3 linked regions of the Bombyx mori genome follow. The protein of the gene in region 1 interacts with the protein of each later gene in a pairwise test. Links are inferred from orthologs where the notes say so. Each region holds a gene or a part of one and is shown in the gene's direction. Other genes may lie near its edges. The genes, in order: small glutamine-rich tetratricopeptide repeat-containing protein alpha, metaxin-1 and translocon-associated protein subunit delta.

Region 1 (8,444 bases):
CTTGTCTACTCGCATAGACAGCCGCAGAGCCTTTCAGTCGTGGCGGAGATGCACAAACAACAAACGTACCAACAAAAAAAATTATTGAAAATTGCTTTTATACTATGTTCTAAAAAATCCTTTGCGGAAAAAATACGAATGCTTTTTTTCGTTCTTAACCGAGTGACTAAACAGCGCAGCGCTGTAGGCCACTGGCCCCAGGCAATGTCGCACGACAGGTGAGGGCATGAGGACAGACGGCAACTTGCAGTGGTGCACTCGTGCGTGGTGCTGCGCGCCGTGCAGGCGCAGCCGCTGGGCGCCGCCGCCGTGCGCGCCGAGCTGCTGCACCTCCTGCGCCAGGACTGCGGCCCCGACCTGCACCTACCCGACCATGTGCTCGAGGACATCACAGGTACCGCGCGACGTCCGCCCATACAAGTCTCAATTTTTAATATATGTATTCATTTCTTAAAAGGTCCGTCATCTCAGCGAAATAAGAATATTAGTCATACAGCTGGTTATAAAAATGTTTATTTAACAAACCTAACATAAAATCGATGATTCGGGGTCAGGGGGGTGTACGCCGAGGTGTCTGCTGGTCGGCCGCTGCCTCGTGTCACGTGTCATTCTGATGTTAATGAAACCGAGCAGGCGGGGCAGGTGATGCGGACGATTATTTTTTTTGTTGCTTAAATGTGTGGACGAGCTCACAGCCCACCTGGTGTTAAGTGGTTACTGAAGCCCATAGACACCTACAACGTAAATGCGCCACACACCTTGAGATATAGTTCTAAGGTCTCAGTATAGTCACAACGGCTGCCCCACCCTTCAAACCGAAACGCATTACTGCTTCACGGCAGAAATAGGCGGGGCGGTGGTACCTACCCGTGCGGACTCACAAGAGGTCCTACCTCCAGTAATTACGCAAATTATAATTTTGCGGGTTTGATTTTTATTGCACGATGTTATTCCTTCACCGTGGAAGTCAATCGTGAACATTTGCTGAGTGCGTATTTCATTAGAAAAATTGGTACCCGCCAGTGGGATTCGAACACCGGTGCATCGCTCGATACGAATGCACCGGACGTCTTATCCTTTAGGCCATGACGACTTCAAAACGATGCCAGAGTTTGCTTCGTTTCGCAGTGAAGACGTGCTTCGTGAGCCCGCGGGCGCGCGCGCTGCGCTGGCAGTCGGACAGCCCGCCGGAGCCGGCGCGCAGCGTGCGCTACCCGCTGGCGCGGCTCGGCGCCGTGTGCGTGTCGGGGCGCGCGCGGGAGCTGGCCGCCGAGCCGCTGTTCCGGCGCGACAACGAGCTGGCCTCTCTCCCCGACATCGTGCTGCAGTGCATCATGCAGGTCAGCGCGCCACCACTGCGCTCAGAAGAGTGTTCCAACACCCTCTATGAGCTACATCAGCCCGATGACGGATCACGTTACATCTCATACGCATAATTAACTGTAGGCCCGTATCTGCGATCAAAAAAATGCTTAATTTCGTGAAAGTTAATGGTAAGATGGGAAAACTTCCCTGACGTTGCCACTGTCCTTGGACGGTGGTGTAACCGCTGTCGCGTGTGCCGCACAGTGTCCGATCGACGTGCGGCGCGCGCTGGCGGCCAACGTGCTGCTGACGGGCGGCGCGGCGTCGCTGCCAGGGCTGCGCGCTCGCCTGTCCCAGGAGTTGGCGCACCTGTGCACGCTGCCGCCGTACAGCTCGCGGCTGCGGCTGGGCGAGTTCAAGTTCCACCGAGCGCCGGCGCACGACATGAGCTGCGCGTGGCTGGGCGGCGCGCTGTGCGGCGCGGGCGAGGCGGGGGGCGGCGCGGGGGGCGGGCGGCTGCTGTCGCGCGACGTGTACTGTCGCGAGCGGCGCCTGCGGGACTGGGTCAACCTGCTGGACAACACGCCGCCGCACCACCCGCAGCGGGACCACCTCGACCTCACTCTGTAGAGACCGAGCGCGCCGCATTTATTTATTTTAATCGTAACATCAAATCGTTATATTGCGCAACCCGGGTCGTGTCAAATAAATACTTTACTAATAAAACATTTAAAAATATCCCGTATTTTTTCTTGCGACACTGACCTATATTTATTCTGCTATATGAAAAATTATATAGATCGAAATGGAATGAATTTGATTTATTTAAGATAGAAATAAATTGGAATAAAATTAAATGAAACATTGTGAAATAAAACGAAAAAGTCTTAGTAAAATGGTCTAAGTATATTCTTAAAATATGACTTAACTGTTTGGAGAATCTCGCGAAATAACATTCAGCGACTTTGTTGCATTTTCCTACACTTGTGCACTTGCTACTCACAGTTAATAAATGGTAAACACCTTTTTCAAACGAGGCTTCTGGAGAGTATTAAACGGTAGGCAGCGGCTTGGCTCTGCCCCTGGCATTGCTGACGTCTATGAGCGACGGTATCCACTCACCATCAGATGGGTCGTATGCTCGCTCGTCTGCCTATACGGCAATTAAAAAAATAACACTTAATAATATGCCACTATTATTATATACTGAAGAAGCAGTAAAAAAACACGTTCCCGCCAAAAGTCTTCAATCAACTTCTTCGTTGACTTAATAACTGTTACAGTATTATTATGTTAAATGTAATATTACAATGGAATTACAATAGAAATGGAAACATCGACTAATTAAAAAACTGTATTCATTTTAAAAAAAAAGGGTGCTTGTACTTATGTACGCGCGTAAGAAGTTATACTTTATATTTATTAAATTTATTTCTTTTCTTTTAATTTAAATTTTAATCAATTTGAAAAAAAATCGATTAAACAACATCCTCAAACACGCATATTGGACATCCCTTTTCTTGACATCGTATAAATTCGGCAATTCTCGGTACGGTTCGGAAAGTTCACCTGCGGCTATATTCAGACTCGCCAAGTTACGTCGGTCGTATTGTAATGAGCGATTTAGTAGGCAAGTTCATTTCTGTTAATTTTGTGTCACGGTGGGCGCGCATCGTAAAATTTCACTCTCATAAATTTTTCATAACGCGCCTAAAGAAGTATAACTTCAATAATTAATTTTGTGATAACTTTACTCCGGACCGTTTTTTAAATTCAATGGATATTACTTTCATTTTCTCCAGAACACCACGAAAACATATCTCTATTTACACAGCCGACAACAGTTAAGTGTATAATCTAGGGCCGACAACTAGGTATATGGCTCTAATAAAGAATTTTAAAAAAATCCAGTGACATCATTCTTCCGCATCTAAATCACGTAAGTCCAGTAATTTTCGTACCAAGGCTTTGGTTTATCCCTACCTCTCTCTTTCTTTGCATATGGCCATTCACTAGCACCTTTAGAACTTTAAGATTTCATTCCATAGACAATTAAGTTCGTAGCTGCATCGGCTTCTCGCCAGACTGGGTCTTTAGATACGCTATTTACACCCAAAATGCTGTTTCGATTTCCCTTAAAACATTTGGTTTTGGTCCATTTATAAAAAACAGACCAAAACCAGGCTGTTGATGATTAAGCAGGCAACGTCCAAACTGTCAAAGTCAATTTGACAACTGTGATATTTAGTTTCATAAATGTGTGACAAGTCTAAAATCTACCTTCTGTGTAAATTGGTAATCTAAAGTCTAAACGAAGCGTAGAAGCTCAGTATTTTGCGCAGTTAAAAGCAATTCTTAAAAATAGAAATGTCAAACGAAATCAAAATAGTTGCAGTGAGTATCGTGAACTTTCTAAAACAGCAATTGGACGGCGATTCTTTGAGCCCTGATTCTAGAGAGAGTGTCGAAGTCGGCGTGCAATGCATTGAGACCGCTTTCGAGCTGACGACGGAAGATGCGGCTCGAGGCCTGGACTTACTGCAGCTTGTCCGTCAGCGACTGGGGCCGCCCGCTAACAAGGCTGAAGCCGAACGACTCAAGAACGAAGGCAACGAGCTCATGAAAGCTGAGCGTTACAACGAAGCGCTTGAAAAGTACACGCGCGCCATAGAGATCGACCCAAGAAACGCAGTCTACTACTGCAATCGCGCGGCTGCGCATTTCAGGCTGTGCGACCCCGAGGCAGCGGTGAGCGACTGTACCACAGCACTCGCCCTACAGCCTGACTATAGCAAGGCGTACGGACGCCTTGGGCTCGCGCTCACCGCCCTCGAGAGACACTGCGAGGCGCGCGCTGCCTACGCCCGCGCCGCTCAACTCGACCCTGAGAACGAGTCCTACCGAGAAAACCTCCAACTCGCTGACCAAACCTTAGCACAGCGCCCTAACGATCTGAGTGGCTTACTCCGGAATCCTGCTTTGATCAACATGGCTACGGAGATGCTCACTAACCCTAATATGCAGAACCTCATTTCAGGGTTGATGACAACGACAGGGGGAGCTCAGGGTGTAGGAGAGGTGCCCCCAGGAGGTATTAATGCGTTGTTAGAAGTGGGACAATCATTGGCACAACAAATGCAAGCTGCTAATCCTGATTTGGTAGAGCAACTGCGACGTCAGCTTCGACCCCCAGGGTCTGGTGAAAATCAGCCACCTTCTCAGTGAGAATGATGTGTATTAGTATTGAGCCTGTGAGAGGGGACTGGGATCCTCAATTCTCATACTGGTCTGTACTTTTGTCTTCTCTCTCAATTCCAACTTCACATGATAAGAGTGAAATTCTACTTTATTTGTTAAAAATTGTTAAACGTTTCTCAAATCACACTACAACTCAGCCTAATACTGATGTAAAACATGCTGCTTCAAATAAATACTGTTCCTATATAAACATCCAGAAGAATATGATACTAAAATTATTTTGGTTCACCATACTTCACATAGAGAAACTTGTGCAAGTGTTTAATTATTAGGGAACAGTGTAATAAATTTTTGTTCCCGAGCTATCCTTAGCTTATGTTTGACTAATTGGTAATTTTAATAAATATATATTTAAATATAAAGGGAATTTTAATTTCGAGAACATTATAGTCAGTGAACATTAACAAAATAATATTTTTTATTATTTGGGCAATAAGTAAAAAAAAACATTAATCTTGATCGGGTTTGAAAATAGAATTCAAATTCAATATTTAATCATTTTGTACACTATTTTACCAGTTTATTTTTATTACATTATATTTGCAGATGAAATCAAAGCCTATTTGGTGTTGAGTGGTCCAGAACCCAAAGACAACACCAAGTTAATGCTACTGCTCATTTTAAGACAGGTGGAAATCTCTATTGTATTAATTTTTTTATGTGACTAGAATTCTTCAGCTCAGAACGAACTAATGGTGAGAGAAGAAACGGGAAGGATTTACTGACAGTATGGTCCACAGATCACCTTTGCAGTGAGATCTGTACATAGGGTTAAGGAATACGTAAGAATTACGATTAGCTAACAGATAGTACTATGTGGAAATGAGACGTTCGCCTCAGGAAATGTTACTTCAGTTAGTTAGCTTCATTTGAAAAAAAGGTTAGTGAACTGAAGTTTTTTTTTCGGTCAGCGTGTCGAACCTCCTACGAGGTATCCGCGACTAAGGGGCACGCGGGATATGTGGGACTTGACGGTCTGGCAGCAGACCGCGAGCCCAAGGATATTTTTAGGACCCTACCGCACCAAACGACTGCACTCACACCCGATGTCCGATCTCCGCCCGGGGTCAGAACCCGGACATAGTAGGGAGGTTCCCGCGGTCAACACTACAACCAGACACGCACACCAGGCACACCGAGGACGCCGCGCCGGTCTCCGCGGAGAGTAGATACTAGAGCTGCGTCAACTTAGACACCCTTTTTATAAGTCATACTTCGCCGACGCTATATAAATAAAAATCGCAACTTTCGTCGTTCCATCTATTATTATTATTTAAGTTTCCACATTAACTCCTCCCGTTACATTATTATTATTTAAGTTTCCACATTAACTCCTCCCGTTACGGGTGCCGGTTCCCCAATATCAAACAACTTTGACAAGAACTCTGGCCAGGTGTTAAACCTCGTCCTCGGGGTCTTTTAGCTAAGCGTATTAACCACTATACCAACCAATCTCGATTTTTTCTTATGGCGCTGAGACTTGATCTCTGAAATCTGTAGAGCGTAAACGGATTGTCACCTTTGAGATGTGGTGCTGGAGAAAGATTCTCCGTATTCCGTAGTCAGCATTTTGGACCAACGTATTAATTTTGCAAGAACTCGAAATCTCCTCGCGGCTGTCATCCGAGTGGCTTTGCAGAGTCCGACCAGTCCGATCAGATCCGTACCGTTCTTGATTCCACATTTCACAACGCTCCACACCGCCAGAGACAAGAATAGGTGGAGAAAGATCGTGCGTGCGAAGGTCATACAAGAGTGGTGGCTACCCTCAGCAGTGAAGAATACGACGCAAGGAGGAGGATCAACCAAGCAATCGACTCACTCAGTCATTCAGACGATCAGTTAAAATTTCCGGTTTGAAAGATAGGACTGTCACTTGATAAGTTCACTTCGACTATCTTAACATTAAAAATTATAATTACTTTCAGGGGATCATTTCCTTGTAGGGTTGACACTGCTAAAGGTTCAGTTAGGTACATATCATACAGGTAGATATCAGTATTAAACCTGTGAATTGAATATATAATTTAATTCTAGAAGACGAAAAAAACTCTTCAATGTGCTTTCTTATCTATTTATTACATGCTATGTATAATTTATTTTCATTATTAATTTACATATCATTATGTACACATAGTAGCAAAATGTAAAAACAACTCAAAGTAAAGCTCGTCTCGCGCCAAACGGATGCTGAGAATTGCTTACAGGCTGCAACACTAAGCTCATCTCGGCGGCTTTATATGAGAACGAGAATACAAAACAACTTTTACGTTATTCTCATAATAAGATATATTATTTACATATTATTATGTAGTGCAGTAGCGGGGCGCCTGTGCGACATGACAGCGCCGTTACAATTTGCTTTTTTATCATGTATAATATAAATTCTAAAACATTATGATATAAGGAATATGAAGACTAATACACCGCTTTATCTGTGCAGGAACAACATGTCGAGGGGTGAGAGGCTGTTTGTTTTAAGCGACATTATTGCAACTCTACAGGAGAGCCATTTAAAGTTTAAAATTTGGAAAAAATATCACATAACGAAAAAAATCTTTTTCAGTTATTTGAATGAAGTAAACTTAATTAAAATTCAATTAAAAACATCGAACTGTTGATGGTGATACCAAATAAAACGGACCTTTAATTACAAAGATAAATATCGCTTAAACCAGAGCGTTTCACCCCTCGATATAGTAGCTTCACGGAAGGATTACCTTTACCGTTTTTAATGAACTTTTATGTAATTTGAAGGTTCACTGAAGTGTTTTGTAAAGAAAATAATCATAAGTGAAAGCGTCCGTCTGCAGGCGCGTCACACCCCGCCCGCGCGCGGACGACGCATACATATTGTTTTGAAAACCAATCATTCTGCGCACCAATTAGACCTACCTCTACAAAAGTTAAGTAGATAAAGCTAAAACATTGGATGCAGCTACATATGACATTTAAATCTTTTATTATAAATTATTATAATAAAAATTATATCTAAATAAATATATTTTATTTTCGATATATGTAACGATAAAAATATAAAAAAAATTGGTTTCATAAATTGAATACTTCAGAACAATAACAAAGTGGTCGCGCGGCGTCGGAAGCCAAATAAAACAAGCAACAACAGTGCAGTAAACAAATATATCTCTATTACAAAGTTCAATAAATTACAAATAGACTAAATGTGCTGGTCGAGGGCCCGCGGACCGCAGCGCGTTCAGTTCCGTTTGGAGGGCGGCACGAGGTGCGAGGGCAGCTCGGTGGGCAGGTCGTGTCCGTCCACCTTCACCGAGATGAGATGCATCGCGAGCGCAAACTCCTCTTCGTCCAGGAAGCCGTCCTTGTCGATGTCGGAGAGCTTCCAAATCTTGCCGAGCACAGAGTTGGGCAGCTTCGACTTCACCATCTCTGTCTTTGCGGCTGTTGAAAAATAGTTCGTAATATAAGCAACAATACGAGTTTATTTTGAAAATGTGTTAGTATAATTTGTCAGACACAGAAATGTAGCATATTTACGGACTCTTCGTTGTTCAGTATAACTTTTAATAAACACTACTACATTCTGTCGAGTGACATGATGTGGTGACGTAATAGCGGCAGATAATAGTACGCTCTCATTTTCGCGTTAATGAGGTCTCTGTGCAGGATGTGTAGTGTGCCGAAGTGCCGCGAAGCAGCTCTACAGCATGACCTGAGACCGCGAGGACGTTGACTACTAAATACTAACTATTAGAGATAATATGTGTAAAATATTTTTGGATGTTATCCTGTCGGCTAATAGCTGTAGCAGCTCCGCCATTGTACCGCGACAATACTCGTATTCCATGATTACTCGTATTGCTACATACCTATTGTGTCCTTAATTATGAAAAGTATACAAA
Region 2 (8,766 bases), on another chromosome or scaffold:
ATGCCATGTGTCATTTAGACAGAATTTATTTTCAAGCCGAAAAATAATAAAATGGTTATTGTATTGTTATAAGAATGCAGTTGTTTTGAAGCTGTAAGCTAAGAATATTGACATAATTATTAAAATTAGTAGCTATCCACATTTTTCATTAATTATTAAAATGTCTCAAGAAGTAAGGCTGATTCGTAATTATTCATCTCCTTTGCCGGGTTTACTGGCAATGGCTTCCTCACATTTCTGCTGCCACATTTTGACATCATCCTCTAGTAATTTCACTCTATCCTTTTCTAACTTTAATAGGATTTTAGTTTCCTCTAATTGACTATTTATTTCATCATAATGTTGTAATTCCTCTGATTGTAAAGTGTTCGCTAGGATACTTGTTTTAGCCTGTTTCACTGTCTCCTCTGCCTGTTTTATTATTTTTTCGGCTTTCTGTTTTAATTCGTCTTGTATAATCAACATTGTGATTAGTCTACGTATTACGAATGTCAGGAAAATTGCAAAGCCTATAATATAGAAGTTTCTTTGGGCTCGAAATAGCTTGACGTGAGTTTTCATTTCGGTAGCTAAATGAGTGTGGCTCACGTCCGTAACATTTGAATATTTCCGTATCTCTCTCACTGCATCAATCAAAAACAACGCCAACACACCGATGAACACATAGAAATATACAGCTACGTTTTCTCGAAACATTGAAAACAGACGTGATTTGAAAAATTGATTCCATCTTCTAGGACTGAATATAGGTAATATCATCAGCATCACTAAAGCAATTTCGAAATATAGATACCCAGCAATGAAGGTCCACTGTATGGACATATTTAGTTATTAGTTTTTGGAGATTTCTTAAATTATTATTTGTTCAGTTAAACTGACCACAATAGCACCGCAGTATGATTATTATAATAACTATGATTAACGATTAACAAACACTGTTGCAGTAATATTATGTGTATGGTTGCGGGTAAATAGAGTAATCAAATCGGTAAATTACGCTTACTAAACAGATTGTGATAAAAAAAAACACTGAAGTAGGTATGAAACCTAAAACCTTACAACTTACAAGTACCGGTAAAATGGGGCGATTAGGGACAAATTCCAACTTTATGACCAATTTTAAGGTAGTTGTTGATGTATATAATGCTATATCAGGATCGAAATGATTGAGTCTTGAGGGCATCTTTGTTGTCCAATTTAAAACTATGCAATTAGCATTCCAGTTTAAGCAAAAAAAGCAAAAATAGGTGTAATCCCTATTTACCCGAAAATTGCGGTTAATTGGGACGAAATGAGAAATTTGCTAGGGCTGCCACTACTTGGTTTTAATTTATTTATTTATTTAATTGCACCAACAAAGTGATCATCAACTTGATTACATTTATTTACTAATGATTAATTTATATTTACTTGGGAAATGATCCGCGACAGATTTGTTCTGTAAGTTGTGATACAATTAAAAAAAACATCTAAATTCATCACTTAAAATTAGTTCAGCGTAATCGGACAACTCCGAATGAACATTGACGGAGACCATGCTACCGTGGACATTATTGTAGTCCCAAAGGAGAGTAAGCTTTCTTATAAACGGTTTATATTTCTTCGTTCTTGGTAAGTACTTAGGGGCTGATATTTTTATCTGGGTTAAGAGATTAGGTGTGTCGGTTATTCCATGGATTAATCAGATGAATACCCCCACTCTGAACAAATATTAAATATTTTACTATGTATTACTTAGACATTTTTGTCCACCTTGAGATTTCATTGTTCTTGTTAGATGTCTGTGCAAAATCGACTTACTTATATTAAATTGCTTAGCTATTTCAACTAAAGACTTATTCCCAATTTCAAAGGCTTCTATTGCTGTTTTCAATATTAAGGGAACATATCTCTTATGAGGCTTTGCACTCTTTGATACGTACACGCGAGGCATTATCTAAAAATAGAAAACAATACGTAACTGATAATATAAATATTTACCAAACAATAAAATAACACATTGATAATTTTGAATAAAAGGTCTAGACAAAAACATCATGAATAAACCAGATTTTTACCAACAAATTTAAAAAATATTGTTATAACTATATAGACAACCCTACAAACCTGTACCTATTTATACTTAGGTCGTTTCCATTTCACGTATTCTCATCCCAATTAACCCCTTTTTCGTTGTTATTTGTACCTAAGACGTCCCCAATATCCCCAAAAACAACAGATTTTTACATGTATTTTTATTTTATCAAATACATTAAAACTAATAACAACTGAGACTTACCTTTAATAATATATGATGGTTCAAACACTAAATAACGTTTATAAATCACATTCGTCTTCTATTATTATCAAATAAATAAAAGAGAGCAAAGTTTCTAACACTAAAATAATGACCACCACAGGAAGTTAATTTGAAACGCGATTTTTTATAAGTTAGCAGCTATTATCATGCATATTCAGAGTTGTTTTGTGAACTTTCAACATTCTACTATTAAACTACAAAAAATTGAAGATTTTGCAACGAATATAAAACTAATATTGAGCGTCGAAAGATTTTCCCGGTTTTTTCCCGATTCGCCTCTCAATCCCTAATCGCCCCATTTTACGGTACCTACCGTACTTACATCTACATTTTTTTTATTGTGGCTCGCTCGGTTTGTGCATTAGCCAGTGTCAAGTAATAAGATATAACTTATATTTTGTACTGCAAAATTGAAATTCGTTTTTTTTTTTCATTTAACCTATTTATTTGATCAAAATATCTACCATTGCTATCTATACATTGCTGCCATTTAATAGGAAGGTCATTTATGCCTTTATGATAGAACTCTGATGATCTAGATTCAACAAATCGTGTGAAAGCATTTTTACCAAAGAGTTACTATTCTACTTATTAACTCCATGATTTTTACCGAATTACAAATGCTGCCAAATTATAATTTGAGCGCTGAAGGCACAACGATAAAAAAATAATTGTTAATTAGATTAAATATTCGCCACATTTTATCTTCTGATTATTTTAACGATCTACTTGGGAGACTTAGGAAATAATTAAATTTTATTATTCGATAGCAATAACAATTTAAAAATCAACTTGTGAATAGTGTTTACATTTTTGTTATATTTTGTCCTATGAAAAATGAATGGATTTTATGAATTTTATTTATTGTAAATATTAATCAATTGGGATGACGTTGAATTTAATAAATAAAATAAATATAATGAGATGACCTGAGAGCTATTTTGTCAGACTTAAATAATCGCTTTATATTTCTTTTGCAATCAATTACATTACCGGCTCCCTTATATAAGTACAATAGAAACGGCGTTAACCTTTGTTACAAAAGATTTCACCCTATGAGCTAAGTTTTCTTTGCCTGTCCAATGGACGAATCAATGTCAAATGAAGTGTCAAAGGTATTTTGTTTAGGATTTGAATTGTTAGAAAATATTAATGTACAATTTTTTTTAAAACGAATATGGCTAACATTGAATTAGACATTTGGAGAGGAGAATGGGGTCTAGCATCTATCGATTTAGAATGTTTAAAAGTATTAGTAAGTTTCATAACATAACCTTGAAATGAATCAAACCGGCGTTGAATAATGGTAAAATATCTCATTATTTCATATTTTCAGACTTACATGAAATTTATCGGTGTGCCTGTTAAAGTGAGAGAGTCGAATAACCCATTTTTCACCCCCAAAGGTCGACTTCCTGTCATGAGAGATGGACGGACCGTTCTTACAAATTTTGAAGAAGTAGTAGAACATTTGAAATCTCTAGTACGTACCGAAACTGATTTATAAATTTAATACATTTCCCTTAAAAATATTTCCCTTAGCTCTCGTTACCACTAGATTTCTCCAAGTTAAGAAAAAAAAGTTGATATTTTTTATGTTCAGCATTACAACACAGATGTACATTTAAACTCCAAAGAGGCAGCGGAAGCGAGTGCATTCACACAATACCTCCGAGACAAGTTATACCCAGCTTACCAGTATGCTTGGTGGGTGGATGAAAAGAATTACAATGATGTAACTAGGCCAACATTTGCAAAATGTTTGAGAATTCCATTTAATTTTTTTTATCCATCACGGTATCAGAATGCCGCCAAAGAAATGATAGACGCATTGTATGGAGAACATACTGATCTTAGAGAAATAGAGAAAACTGTAAGTTGAGCTTGTAAATATATATTTTTTGTAGACTATTAAATTAAATCAACTTTATGTAATATGACATTCATGTCACTATTGTTACTGTTAGTCAGAATAATCAATCATGCTAAAAGGTAAATTATTTGTATATAGGTTATGTTGAAATAAATACCCTTGCTTTGATCCTTGGAGATTGTCATATTTTCCTGATCAATTTATCTTGAGTATTGTTAATTAAAAAAAAAAAATGGTTATCCAAAATGCTGCTGCTGTCAAATCAAATCAAGCTGCATAAAACACTTTCCAGATATACAGTGAAGCTGAGAAGTGCCTTAAAACATTATCAGATAGATTAGGTGAGAGTGAATACTTCTTTGGAAACCGTCCTTCATCGTTTGACGCTATTGTGTTTGCTTACTTAGCTCCTTTAGTGAAAGCACCATTTCCTAATGGGACTCTGTCAAACCATGTCAAAGGCACTGCAAATTTGGCAAGATTTGTGGCCAGGATCAATCAGAAAAATTTTAGACACGTCACAGATGGTAAGTAATGTAAATTAAATAAAGGTTATTAAAAATATGTATATCACATCGAACACTCAGTCAATGCTGCTGTACAATCTCTATTGAACATCTACTGAAGAAGTGACTTTTCTTATGATACCTGGGGTAAGCAATGAGGTAGTGCTTTTCTAGGCTGAACCACACTAATTGTGGATATGTCTACTCAACATTTATGAATAAAGAGGATTTTGAACAAGAAAATAGGTTTAATAAAAGCTGTTAGAAAGTTTTCTTTCTCATTATTTGGCATTATGTTAACAATATTTATTTATATGTGGAACTTATAAATGAGACAACGCAATTGAGACTCAAATCTTATACCATAAGGTGGACAATATATCTATCGTTACAATATATCTATATATTATTAGTATGTGTTACTCAACACATGTGTTTAAGCACACAATTCAGTTAATTAAATAATAAAACATAGTAGGGGTTTTATTATATACTAATTGTGAGAATGTGAAGAGAAGCAGAAGATTGTGAGAAAAAACAGAGACATCATTTGCATTATCAAAAATAGCAGTGCCTGGCAATAATAAAATTTTTGTATTTTTTTAATAAAATTTTCTGTTTTTATGTTGTTTCTTTCAAACTCAATAATGAGTATACAAATTACAGAATATAATAAACAGAATGCAAAGAAACAGTCCACAGGCTCGCAGTCTGATAGAGAAGCCGCAAACTTTCCCAACCAGACTCGAAATAAAATCTTAGCAGCCCTGTTTGCTGCTATTGCTATGACGGGGTATGCAGTGGCTAATGGAATGTTTCAAGTATGTAATTTTTTTGTTAATAATGAATATTTAATTTGTAACTATTAGCATTCCCATTACCAATTGTACACTTTAGAATAAGTACCCTGATTTACCAACTACAGCACATACAAACTAAAGGATAGAAGCTTGCTTATACACTTACATACAAAAAAAATGGGAAAAATATTATTAGAACTAAGTGTACTATGCCCCTTTTTGCGTCGCTACCAAGGTGCAAGGTTAAACATGCCGCTGTGCAGGATATCGTAGCTTAGTAAATATAAGAAGGTCTTGAATAAATGTTGAAATAAAAATAAATTAATTTTATTAGGTACTAAACTTTTATTGAAAGTATTTTTTTATTGATTAGATAGGTGGACGAGCTCACGGCACACCTGATGTTAAGCGGTTATCGGAGCTTATAGATATCTACAACGTAAATGCCGCTACCAATCTTGAGACATGAGCTCTAAGGTCTCTAGTTTTTATAGTACAACGGTTGCCCCACCCTTCAGACCGAAACGCATTACTGCTTTACAGCAGAAATGAGCAAGGTGGTCGTACCTACCCGTGTGGACTCACAAATGTCCTTGCACCAATTATACTGTTTTACATAATGAAGAATAATTTAACAATCCATATTCTGTTTAGGAGCTGAAAGACTTTGAGCACTCGCGAGATTACAATGAAATGTTTGAGAATGAAGAAGAGGACAACTGATAGTAACTGAAGTTTATAACTTAACCAAGCTCACAGCTGATGACATACACTGCTGTCCAAAGGTATTGTGGGTACCTAAATTTATGTAGGAAGGGATAAATTCACATTACTTAACCGTCTAGACAATGCATAAGATTGATGTTTTTGGCTTATTACATTTGGCTAAATTTAGTCTACTGAATTCAGTGAAGTGTAATAGCATTCAGTAAGCTAGCATACTAAATTCAGTAGCAAGGATGGTTTCTGACTGACTAAATCATTAAGAAGCCTAAATAGAAATGCATTTAGGAAGGTGTAATCGCATTTAGTTACTTAATGATTTCAGTCGTCCCATAGCTCTCCGTGCGTAAGGACGTTTTAGCTTGTTTTTTACTTCCGAATAAAAAGTATTTATTTCAGTTACCTTCATTTAATGTGCCAGACATTTATAAATAGCTCGACATGTTTCAGTGATAATTTTTGTCAGCAGGGTTTGGGATATTAAAGAACTAAATTTTACACCTTGATACGAATTTCCTGTTACAAGAAATCTTAATGTTAGAACCAGTCTTTCTTTTGGACTTATACTATCTCGTAGGATAGTATACTGCTTTTGAATAAACGGTGTCACAAGGTTTAATATTAGGTCAAACGATCTCGAATCCATTCTTAGATAATTTCTGTAGTCTGCAGGTTCTAAATCACTCATAATGTTCATATTTGCTAACTTCCCGTGCAGCAATAAATATTTCTTCACCCATATTCTTCCGTTTATTATTTTTATTTAATTGAGCCGACAGCGAGGGCTACACCAAGACCAAATTTTTGTTGTCTAGGCAATACTGGGGCTATCCTCTTACACACACAACACGTCCAATTTCGTCGGGTTTAAACTGGCAATTGATTCAGTAACTGAATTAAGAACAGTGTAATCAGAAACTTCTAACTTGCTTCTAAATTTGCTTCTGAATTCAGTCGACTAAATTTAGCCAAGTGTAATAAGCCTTTTAGGTTGATGAACCCTTGTCGTGTGAGTTCACTAACCTCGCGCATTCGATATTACATTGCGGGCTGTGCTTTCATGCCAGTACTACTACTTTACAATATATGTATATAAATCTCATGCATGGGCAAATCCATTTTATGCAAAATACCTTAAATATCGACCATAACAGGAGAACATTATGTGATTTCTCTTGAAGCCCTATAGATATTTTTTGTTTCATTATAAATAAAGATGCCATTAATGTTTAAAATTCACAAATTAAAATGGTAGAGCAATACATTTACATGGGAGTACTAGCTTTATAGTAAAATAATTAATGCACTCCCATTTCTTTCTAAAAATTTATGTATGGTTTTATTTTTTATTTCTCCTAATATATACCGAGTATTTTTTTCAACTACGGCTTTATTTTATTAGTACACATGGTACCTTTCGGACGGCAATGCGCGCGCATAATTTTTGTGTTACCTCGTATACACTGTACCTAATAAGGCATATAATATATAAAAACCACACAGAGTATATCCTATAGAATAGAAATATAAAACTAAATTCGAAGTCATTTTAGTCGCTTCCGTGCTGCGTATTCAGTTACCAGCGACAACGGGCCTGCTAATTTTTTTTTAAATTAATTACAGTCAATATGTGGAAGACTTTTCTCTCAGCTATTTGAAGTTATAATATACGTCAAAATACACACATAATTTTTTTTTATGTTTTTCAATTATACCCTAAACAAACAGTCAGTCACGCCGCAATGGGCGAGGTATAGTAAAATTGAATTAATGAAAAACTTTTACGGTTGAATCACGCGTTTTTTTTTCTCTCGTAATAATTACTATTAACACAACACGTACTAGAAATATGTATGCACATAAAAGACAAAGAATGTAATAGTTATGTCTATCTCTATCAATCTAAACATTCAAATGTTTCTGTTACATCCATCGTCTTCAAATAATTGAACTATAGTTTTAAAAATAAATGTTAAAAAAATATAGTTTTAAATTTCATTGGTATTCTGTTTGTAAATTTTATGTTTCATTAGTTCAATTACTTGAATTGTTTACGAAGTTATAATAAGGATATTGTGTTGGTTGGAAAGGAGAAGAAAAAAATGTTTAAATAAAAGTTTGAATTTGGTATGATTCGAAAGTCAGAGCTGCTTTAATGATAGAAGGCTGCGAATAAAAAGATAAATTTATACGCTATAATATTGTTGATGATTAAATAATGTTAGTGCTTTGGGACTTGATGGTTTAGTAATTGTCTGTAGGTCCATTGTTTCTGTTTCATAAGGTTTGATTGTTTTCAAATTGCGTGCGCTGCAGAATGTTAGCAGTTGTTATAATTTGAAAGACGAAAGACTAGATCGAAAATAATCGTAAATTATTTGAATTAACAAACGACTAGACTATAAATTCCATATTACGAGATTTACGATTTACGTTCGTCTCTGTATCTTTGTATTTTAGTGCATTTAAACATGTTTCCATGTGTATTGAGTATTAAATTTTTGCGGTCCTGTTTGATTATTCGTTATTATGATTATTTGTTCACGGCAAGCTGTGCAAGTGTAT
Region 3 (8,869 bases), on another chromosome or scaffold:
ATTCTCGGTCTTGTCACGAGGTTTTGTCAAACTGCAACCGCCGCATCATCCTGCATCACGACAATGCGAGTTCTCACACCGCGCACAGAACAAAAGAGTTTTTAGAGTAAGAAAACATAGAATTATTAGACCATCCGCCGTACAGCCCCGACCTAAGCCCTAATGATTTCTATACTTTCCCTAAAATAAAGAATAAATTGCGTGGACAGAGATTTTCATCACCTGAAGAAGCTGTGGACGCCTACAAAACGGTAATTTTGGAGACCCCAACTTCTGAATGGAATAGTTGCTTCAATGATTGGTTCCATCGTATGGAAAAATGTGTCAAATTTCGCGGAGAATACTTCGAAAAGCAATAAATACATTTTTAAATAGTAATGTTGTGTCACTTCGTTAATTCTCGAAATTTTCAGTGCCGCCCTCGTAGGTACCACCACTCTGCCTGGATTCGTGAAAGATGAACACTTATAATCCATAAATACAGGTTACTGAGTTTCTCGCCGGATCCTCTCAGATCATTTTAGCGGTAAGCAGCGGTTTGGCTCCGCCCCTGGCATTGCAGACGTACATGAGCGACGGTAACCACTAACCACCAGGTGGGCCGTATGCTCGTCTGCGTGCTAAGGTAATAAAAAAAAATGTGTGCGTGTACTAGTGTACACACGTAAGAAGTGAAACTTATTTTTCGAAAAATGATCTACATGCAACTTTCTAGAAATTGGTTAAATAAAGTTAAATTAGATAAAGTTTAAACAAAAGGATTTTATTATCATAGACATGAATACAAAAAAGATGGCGCGTAACGGAAAAATGTGACGCGTAACCGAAAAATGTGACGGTAAATTTTTTCCAACGCCGATAAAGAAGTTTCACTTCAAAAATAAAAAGTTGGTCGCGATTTCCATTCCTATGATAGATTCTGGAAAGCACTGCTCTTGCTAAGGCCAATCTCAAATGGTCCTGTAATCATCAGGATCTGATTGATGATGGGATCCTGGGAATATCGAGAAAAATCTACAATTTTCAAAGCCTATCTTGAAGTGATTTGTGTGTTTCTTGTTATTGTTACGCGCTGGGGTTCGGGATAAATAATATTTCACCAAAGTACAATGGGATACATAGTATTTCACCAAAAACTCTCAATTCGCTTATTCCGCTTCGCTTCAGGTGATCCGTTCGCTGTTTCGCTTCTAAATAGTTCCGATTACTGACTGACTGCGTGCCATCTCTACAACGCTTTTATAGCCGATATGACATCCCTAGAATTATCGAGAATATTCTACAAATATCTAGTAGTAGATTCCGCTATCTGCCAATAGATGGCGTTGCACTTCTCGAGCGTTCTGGGCGCTACTAGATCCTTCGATATTCGTTCGACTATTCGGCAATACATGGCGTTACTCTTACCGGCGTAACAATATTCTTCTTATCATTATATGCTATATCATTATTACGCGCTTGATCATTATTTTGCTGAGATGTTATTTTATGGTTGCGATATCTTCTAAGATACTCATTAAAATCAAATGATAGACAGGGAAAAGTTCTTTAAAGTTAAATATCTGTAATACATATTTATTTGGATAAGGACTAATATGATTTTTATGAAAACACCTTCACAAATAATGCTTTTTTTTAGAACAAATTTGGTTAGCATAAAAAAGGTTCTAGTGAGCCTATCTTAAAATATAGGCATAGAACTTTTAAAGGGACATTATTCTGTCATATATTATTTAAGCGAAATTTTAACCGTATCCGCAGCGCGCGCAGTGGAAGCTCTCAAAAGGCAAAAAAACGACCTTGAAACATTATTAGTACTTCACTCGTATTGGTCTTAGCGTGATGTTATATAGCCAGCCTATAGTCTTCCTCAATAAATGAGCTATCTAAGACTGAAAAAATCAAATCGGACCAGTAGTTCCTGAGATTAGTGCGTTCAACCAAACAAACAAACTCTTCAGCTTTATAATAGTATAGATTTTTTATTTTAAATATTTTTAAACTTCAACACAGGCAACAATGGTATCGCAAGAAGACGATTACTATACTGAAAAAAAGTTAATTACACATGACAAATTAATATTATTAAAAAATTTACAAATACGTTAGAATTCTGAAAGATTTAAGAATTATTTTATGGTTTTTCAAAATTCACAAATACTTTTAAATTTGAATGCATTGTTATTAAAATATATTATACTGATCGCGATCTTTAAATGTAAATTGGCCACACGTAACCGCTGACGTTTCGGAGTTGCGTTCTAAAGACAACTTTTAACACTTTCTAAAATTTAGATAGTGTGAATAAATTACTTTAAAACATCAGTTATGCTTTTACGTACATGAAATAGTTTAAAATCAATACTGTGATTGGGAAGATTACAAAAACAAAATATTTATGAAGTAAAATAAAATTTAGAAATTCAAAAATTGATGTGAAATATTTGATTGCTTGATGTTTATGAAGACATTGAAGAGACGTTTTCGAACACAACATACGTGGACGGCTGTAAAGGAGTGAGAATTGTAGTCTCAAATTTTTAAAATTAGATTTACCTTTAAGGTCACAAATAACAAAATGGTCACAAAAAGTTTTATTTATATTATCACAATCGCTCTTATCGGCAGTATTTGCGCCGAATCCTGTCAGAACCCTAAAGTTGAAGCTTCATATTTCACTAGTTTAGATGCCACGGTAGTCACACAAATAGCCTATATAACCGAATTTACGCTTAAATGTGACAATACTCTGCCCGAGAACTACGGTTTGTACGCTGAAGTCGATGGAAAATCACTAACGGCCGCCAGAATCGGTGAAAACAAATATCAGGTAAGTTAATCATATTTCCTAGGTCCACCTGAGACCGAGCCGCATTTAAAAGTTTAAAAAGGACACCTTTTCATTTCTTATAATGATATTCGATGTCTATGTTATATAAGGGTCTTATATTGCTTTATTTAGCTTTTGAAGATATAATAACTATCCTAGACACTACAGTAACACTTAATGGTCTCAACCAATCAACCCTTTTAAATCTGACAAAACAACAATGTTCCCATAATCAGAGATTGAACAAAATTCTAATTGAACTAAAATCCCTAAATCTTCAATTTAGCTTTAAAAAAAGAACTTTCCTGCATTCTATATATGCTAAGTTTTTTAAACCACAACAGATAATACAATTTCCACCTCGAACCATTTGTGAGACCTGATCTTGTTCCAATATAAATTTTTAATTAGTATTATTATTGAAATATAAAATGTTCACATGTATTATACTTTGACAGTACAATGACAGGAAAGATTTCCATGGAGTGCTATAAAAACTACCTGCAATATACTACTATATAATAAGTTTCGTCAAAATTATAAGAATCAATTAGAAAGCCAAAAACAAACTTCATTTTTTTTCTATAAAAGATATATTATGTGATGGTAGTAATTTTTAAAAGTCATGTACATTTTACAAATTATTTTTAAACTTTCAAGCCATTTCAATCATAAACATTCGGCATTATTTATAATGGTTCGAGCCACGCATGCTAATTGGTCGACACAGCTGATCAGACCATAAGCAATTGGTATTATTTATCACGGCTCTGGTACGTGTGGCAATTGGTCGACACAGCAGATCAGAGTATAAAACTCGACTGCAACTTAGGTGGCCTTGCCACCTGTCTTTTTTTTATTGCCTTTGTAGGCAGACGAGCATACGGCCCACCTGATGGTAAGTGGTCACCGTCGCTCATGGACGTTAGCAATGCCGGGGGTAGAGCCATGCCGCTGCCTACCATTAAGTATTAAGTACTCTCCGCAAGCCTCATTTGAAGAAGGACATGTCATAGCGCCTGGAAAACACAGTGGAGGGGAGTTCATTCCAAAGCCAGATGGTATCTGGCAAGAGAGGCTGTCTCTAGAGAAAGCTCTACATTTATATTTCAAGATGAACGTAATTTGCTTTCCTTGCTGTCAGCTCTTCCATCTGCATATTCAAATACTATTTGAGTCTAATTTAGCAATGGTGTTAAGTATTTAAATCCCTTTCATAGATTTCCTGGACCGAAGAACCAGCGAAGGCTCGCTCCGGAGTGCACCAGATAAACATTCTAGATGAAGAAGGCTGGGCTTCGCTGCGTCGTGCTCGACGTGCCGATCCTGCCGCCTCTGTTGCTCCACTACTCGCCATACAACTTAGTCATCCTGGCAGTAAGCTATTTTTAATACGCTTTGATTAGCTTCAGACGTATGTATGTTAGTATTACTGGTGGTAGGACCTCTTGTGAGTCCGCGCGGGTAGGTACCACCACCCCGCCTATTTCTGCCGTGAAGTAGTAATGCGCTTCGGTCTGAAGGATAGGGCAGCTATTGTAACTATGCTGAGATTTTAGAATTTATATCTCAAGGGTGGCGCATTTACGTTGTGGATGTCTATGGGCTCCAGTAACCACTTAACACCAGGTGGGCTGTGAGCTCGTACACCCATCTAAGCAATAAAAAAAAAAGAATCTTTGAACATGATTTTGACCCCCCTCAAAACGTCGGATTAACTCGAAATTTGGCATGCTTATTAAGGACCGATGACAATTCAATATTTAAAAAAAAAATGAAAAATTGGAATTCAACTAAAAAATGAAAAATAATTAGTAGTTTAAAAAAACTAACAAAATATGTACGCTTTTATAGAAAATCCAACTAAAAAATAGAAAATAAATTTTAATAAATTTGAATTTAAAATAGTGTTAGAAAAAATGATTTTATTGTAAAAAAAGCGTGGGGTGCATGGTATCAGTAGTTATAAATATTTAATGAAGAAATATGAGTAGAAGGGTTATTTTGTTAATATCGTGCAAAGGCACCCCACGCTTTTTTACAATAAAATATTTTTTTCGTACACTATTTTTAATTCAAATTTATTGAAATTTATTTTCTATTTTTGAATTGGATTTTCTATAAAAGCGTATTTTGATAGTTTTTTTAAACTATTATTTATTTTATTTACTGCTGGTAGGGCGTCCTTTGAGCCCACCCGGGTAGGTACCACCACCCTGCCTATTTCTGCCGCGAAGCAGTAATCCAGCTCCAATTTGAGTTACATTAAAGATATATTTGAGACTTGGATCTCATCTCTTCACATATTTAATGTCTAAAGGCTTCCGTAACCACTGGACACGCCACAAGCTTGTTTACCTATGTAAGGCATAAAATGAAAAAAAAAAGATGTAAAATCCCGATTGATTCACTGGAAAATAAATCTGCATTTTAATCAGTATAAGCAATGGTTTCAATGAAATGTGATTGATCACATTTGAATGTGGGTTTAACGGTCATGATAAATCAACCTAATTTTTTTTTTATTGCCGTTTTGGGAAGACGAGCTAACGTGATGGTAAGTGGTTACCGTCGCTCAAGGACGTCAACAGTGCCAGGAGTAGAGGCAACCCGCGGCCTCTCTCCGCGAGCTTCGTTTGAAGAAGGAGCATGTCCTTCTTATCATCTCATGTCATGTCATAGTGCTCGGGCGACACCGTGGAAGGGAGTTGAGGTTGAGTTGATTTAAAAGTAGTAAGGAGTACCACTGGTTCCTGCAGTCATAGCGCCACTGTTCTACCTATTACTGGTACAAAAATGTCATGGATCGACATATCGCCTTTTCGCATTAAAAGTGTACAATTTCCAAAAATATTCGAAATTGAGTTAATAATATATGTATGCGTAAACATTTCGCATCATCAGTATTTTTATCATAAATATTGTCAAAAGTGCTTAGTTTAGTTTTAGTTTTTTTTTTTTTTTAGTTTAACTATGTTTTACTATTAACAAAATTAATACATAATATAATCTTACTTGAAAAAACAGATAATGATAATAACTGGTAAAAAATATAAAATAAATGTTGCAAAGATGATTAATATTAAAAATATTACATGTTAAACCTTTAAAAGACTCTCCTGTAAAATTAGTATGTTTTGAGATTATACAGTTTTAAAATGAGAGAAGACGATATCTCCATCACACACAATCTCAAGATACAGGTAACATTGTCATTTTGATCTGTTTGTGAGTCTAGACGGGTTTTGAACTCCTCTCATGTAACGCAATAACAAAAAGACTAATAAGATAACTCAATTTTTTCTCCAGGCTACTCCGGGCCATGGGTGAACTCCGAGATACTGGCAACATTCATCTCAATCTTGGTCGCCTATACGGCACTTCGTAACAAGAGCAAGATATTAGCTTAAGCAATTATTGTTAAATTACTGTTAATTTTATATTAAAAAAATAATATAATATAACAATTTTTTTTTGTGTTTGTTTGAGAAAGCGTCTTAAGCATTGTACATTTTAAACAGTAAAACTACGCATTTTCTTAGAATTAATAGAAGTTCTTCCTTAAAATTATAGAAACTACATTTTTTTTCCTACCTAAGCTGATAGCCTTGAGAGGCTATATCAGCGTCGCCTTAACTAGTAGGGGAGCTCACGGGGCTCAAACCTGATGACGTTGCTAACACGAACCCTAGCAAGAGCAGTGCTTCGCAGAATCTACCACCGGATCGGAAACGCGACCCACTGAGAAGATCCGGCGAGAAACTCAGTGGGCTGTGTGTGAGGGAAACTAGAAGGAAGGAGTACCATCTTGAATAGGGGACAAGTTGAAAAAATATCCATCTGTAAACAGCAAATTATAGTTCGAAAACTCACCGAATTAGCGCTAGTGTAGCAAGTGGGAATAATACGAAAATAGCAGTTTTAAACAGTGCTAGCTTAAAGTGAAGTGTGATATCCCGACACTACTGTTAGTATCTCGTCACTGACTAGGGGCCGTAACTCCATTGCCGCCATAAAAATCCTTGGCCAGCCCATAGCTAGGGCTTCGAAGGCTAAGTACTTAGGCGTCACTCGATAAGGGATGACATTCGGGCCCCATATTGAGTCAGTGCGCGACCGAGCCGCGTTCTAACTCGGTCGACTCTACCCCATGATCTGCAAGCGAAGTACAATGTCTCTTCATAACAAGGTGACACTATAAAACTTGCATACGTTTCGTCATGACCTATGCAAGTGTAGTGTTCACTCACGCGGCCCGTACATTACGTACGTACGTAATTACTCTCCAGTGTGCTTAGTGCGAGTTTTCTAACGTTCTCGATAGCGTAAAAGTTAGCCCAATTTTATATACAGTTGGAACAGCACCCCTAGCGGCAAACATAGGTAAACGATACCATTCCATACAAATATGAGCTAACCTTTACGTTATCGAGAACGTTAGAAAACTCGCACTAAGCACACTGGTCATCCAATCCCGTTTCTGCAGGATAGCCTTCGGAGCACCGTGGTATGTGAGGAATGTAGATCTTCACGGTGACCTAAATTTAGTACCGATACGTAAAAATCTAAAGGAAGCGTCGGAACGCTACTTCGACAAAGCGGCGAGACACAAAGACCTTCTTATCGTGGCCGCCGCTAATTGCTTAGCCGCCTCACAAGCACGGGTCGCCGTCCGTGAGTTCGACGAGTGAATTAGCCCATAGACCCAACCCACTGAGTTCCTCGCTGGATCTTCTCAGTGGCTCGTGATTCCGATCCGGTGGTAGATTCTGCGAAGCACTGCTCTTGCCAGGGCTAGTGTTAGCAAATTCTCTCAGGTTGAGTCCGTGAGCTCACCTACCCGTCCGGGCGAAGCTGAGATAACCTCTTAGGCTACCGGCGAATAGGGAGGGAAAAAAATAAAAAGAAGTGTGATAGTTTAAGGCGCCGTTTTTAAAACCTTTCCACTTGCTACTGTGGCGCCACCTTCATTTACTCCCTGTCGACGGACACTTTCTGCACTTAAAGTTATAGTAAAATAAGGTAAGGTCAGAGAGAGAATATATTTTATTGCACACCAAAACACAATTAACATTTAAAAAAAAACAGTTTTTTTTTAAACCTAAGCTGGTAGCCTAGAGAGGCTATTCCAGCTTAACCGTAACTAGTAGGTGAGCTCACGGGGCTCAAACCTGACGACGATGCTAACACGAACCCTAGCAAGAGTCGTGCTTCGCAGAATCTGCCACCGGATCGGAAACGCGATCCACTGAGAAGATCCGGCGAGAAACTCAGTAGGCTGGTTAAACAATTGTAAAGCAGATACATTTGTACAATAGGCAGTTTTATCGTTAAAAGCGATCTCTTCCAGACAGCCGTTTAATTTACGTAAGGTTAAATAAAGTTTTTCTGATGTTTGTATCTCTTAGCGCACGCAGTAATACTACATTTTTGTTAAAGCATCTGTTATTTTAACTCTAATAATATCTTTTAATTCTTACTGATGATGAACTAGTCATTACTGTTTGTTAAAACTTTAAACGCTGGAAAAACAAATGTTTTTGGTTATGCTTCTAGAAATGGAGAATATGATGAAAACGCTCGTGCAAATCTTGGTTGCTCGTGAGCGTTTCAACCAAGGAACAGGCAGCATTAAAGACTGTAAATAAATAAAATAAATATTATTTATATTCGGCAGCGGCATTTTCTCAATATTATAGCGACAAATTATGATCGTCAACCAACAGATGTTGCTCATGAGTCATATTGTGGGTGATTGTAGACACTATGAGCTGAGTGTTAGTTCATTACGTGAATAATGGATTATTATAATCATTTAACCTTAGCATTTTGTATTGACAAAGCTTTTTGTTACTATGCGTGAAACGGAATACAAGTTATAATGCAACAGAATATAAAAGTAACTTGTAATTATACGCCAACAGCATGATAGTTTCAAATTTCCAATATAATACGTCAACTTCTCAGCTGATTTGTTTTAAGGTTATGTTCTTGTTGTGCTACAGTTAGACCAAAAAGAAATTAATATTGCCACTAAAA

The links.
Region 2: the proteins of small glutamine-rich tetratricopeptide repeat-containing protein alpha (region 1) and metaxin-1 interact in a two-hybrid assay, tested with the Caenorhabditis elegans proteins (2 studies listed by BioGRID). The link is inferred for Bombyx mori from reciprocal best matches to the Caenorhabditis elegans genes sgt-1 and mtx-1.
Region 3: the proteins of small glutamine-rich tetratricopeptide repeat-containing protein alpha (region 1) and translocon-associated protein subunit delta interact in a two-hybrid assay, tested with the Caenorhabditis elegans proteins (2 studies listed by BioGRID). The link is inferred for Bombyx mori from reciprocal best matches to the Caenorhabditis elegans genes sgt-1 and trap-4.

The regions. Positions count from the first base shown.
Region 1 is NC_085113.1:139,767-148,210, forward strand, and holds small glutamine-rich tetratricopeptide repeat-containing protein alpha, read left to right. Parts: upstream 1-2,912; 5' UTR 2,913-3,672; coding exon 3,673-4,530; 3' UTR 4,531-4,925; downstream 4,926-8,444. Other genes in the region: actin-related protein 10, read left to right, coding at 251-394, 1,129-1,340, 1,570-1,935.
Region 2 is NC_085127.1:1,794,782-1,803,547, forward strand, and holds the start of metaxin-1, read left to right. Parts: upstream 1-3,371; 5' UTR 3,372-3,476; coding exon 3,477-3,554; intron 3,555-3,635; coding exon 3,636-3,782; intron 3,783-3,902; coding exon 3,903-4,172; intron 4,173-4,464; coding exon 4,465-4,699; intron 4,700-5,344; coding exon 5,345-5,499; intron 5,500-6,132; coding exon 6,133-6,201; 3' UTR 6,202-8,766. Other genes in the region: endoplasmic reticulum protein, read right to left, coding at 190-822.
Region 3 is NC_085130.1:17,557,207-17,566,075, reverse strand, and holds translocon-associated protein subunit delta, read left to right. Parts: upstream 1-2,214; 5' UTR 2,215-2,578; coding exon 2,579-2,830; intron 2,831-4,050; coding exon 4,051-4,207; intron 4,208-6,139; coding exon 6,140-6,240; 3' UTR 6,241-6,301; downstream 6,302-8,869.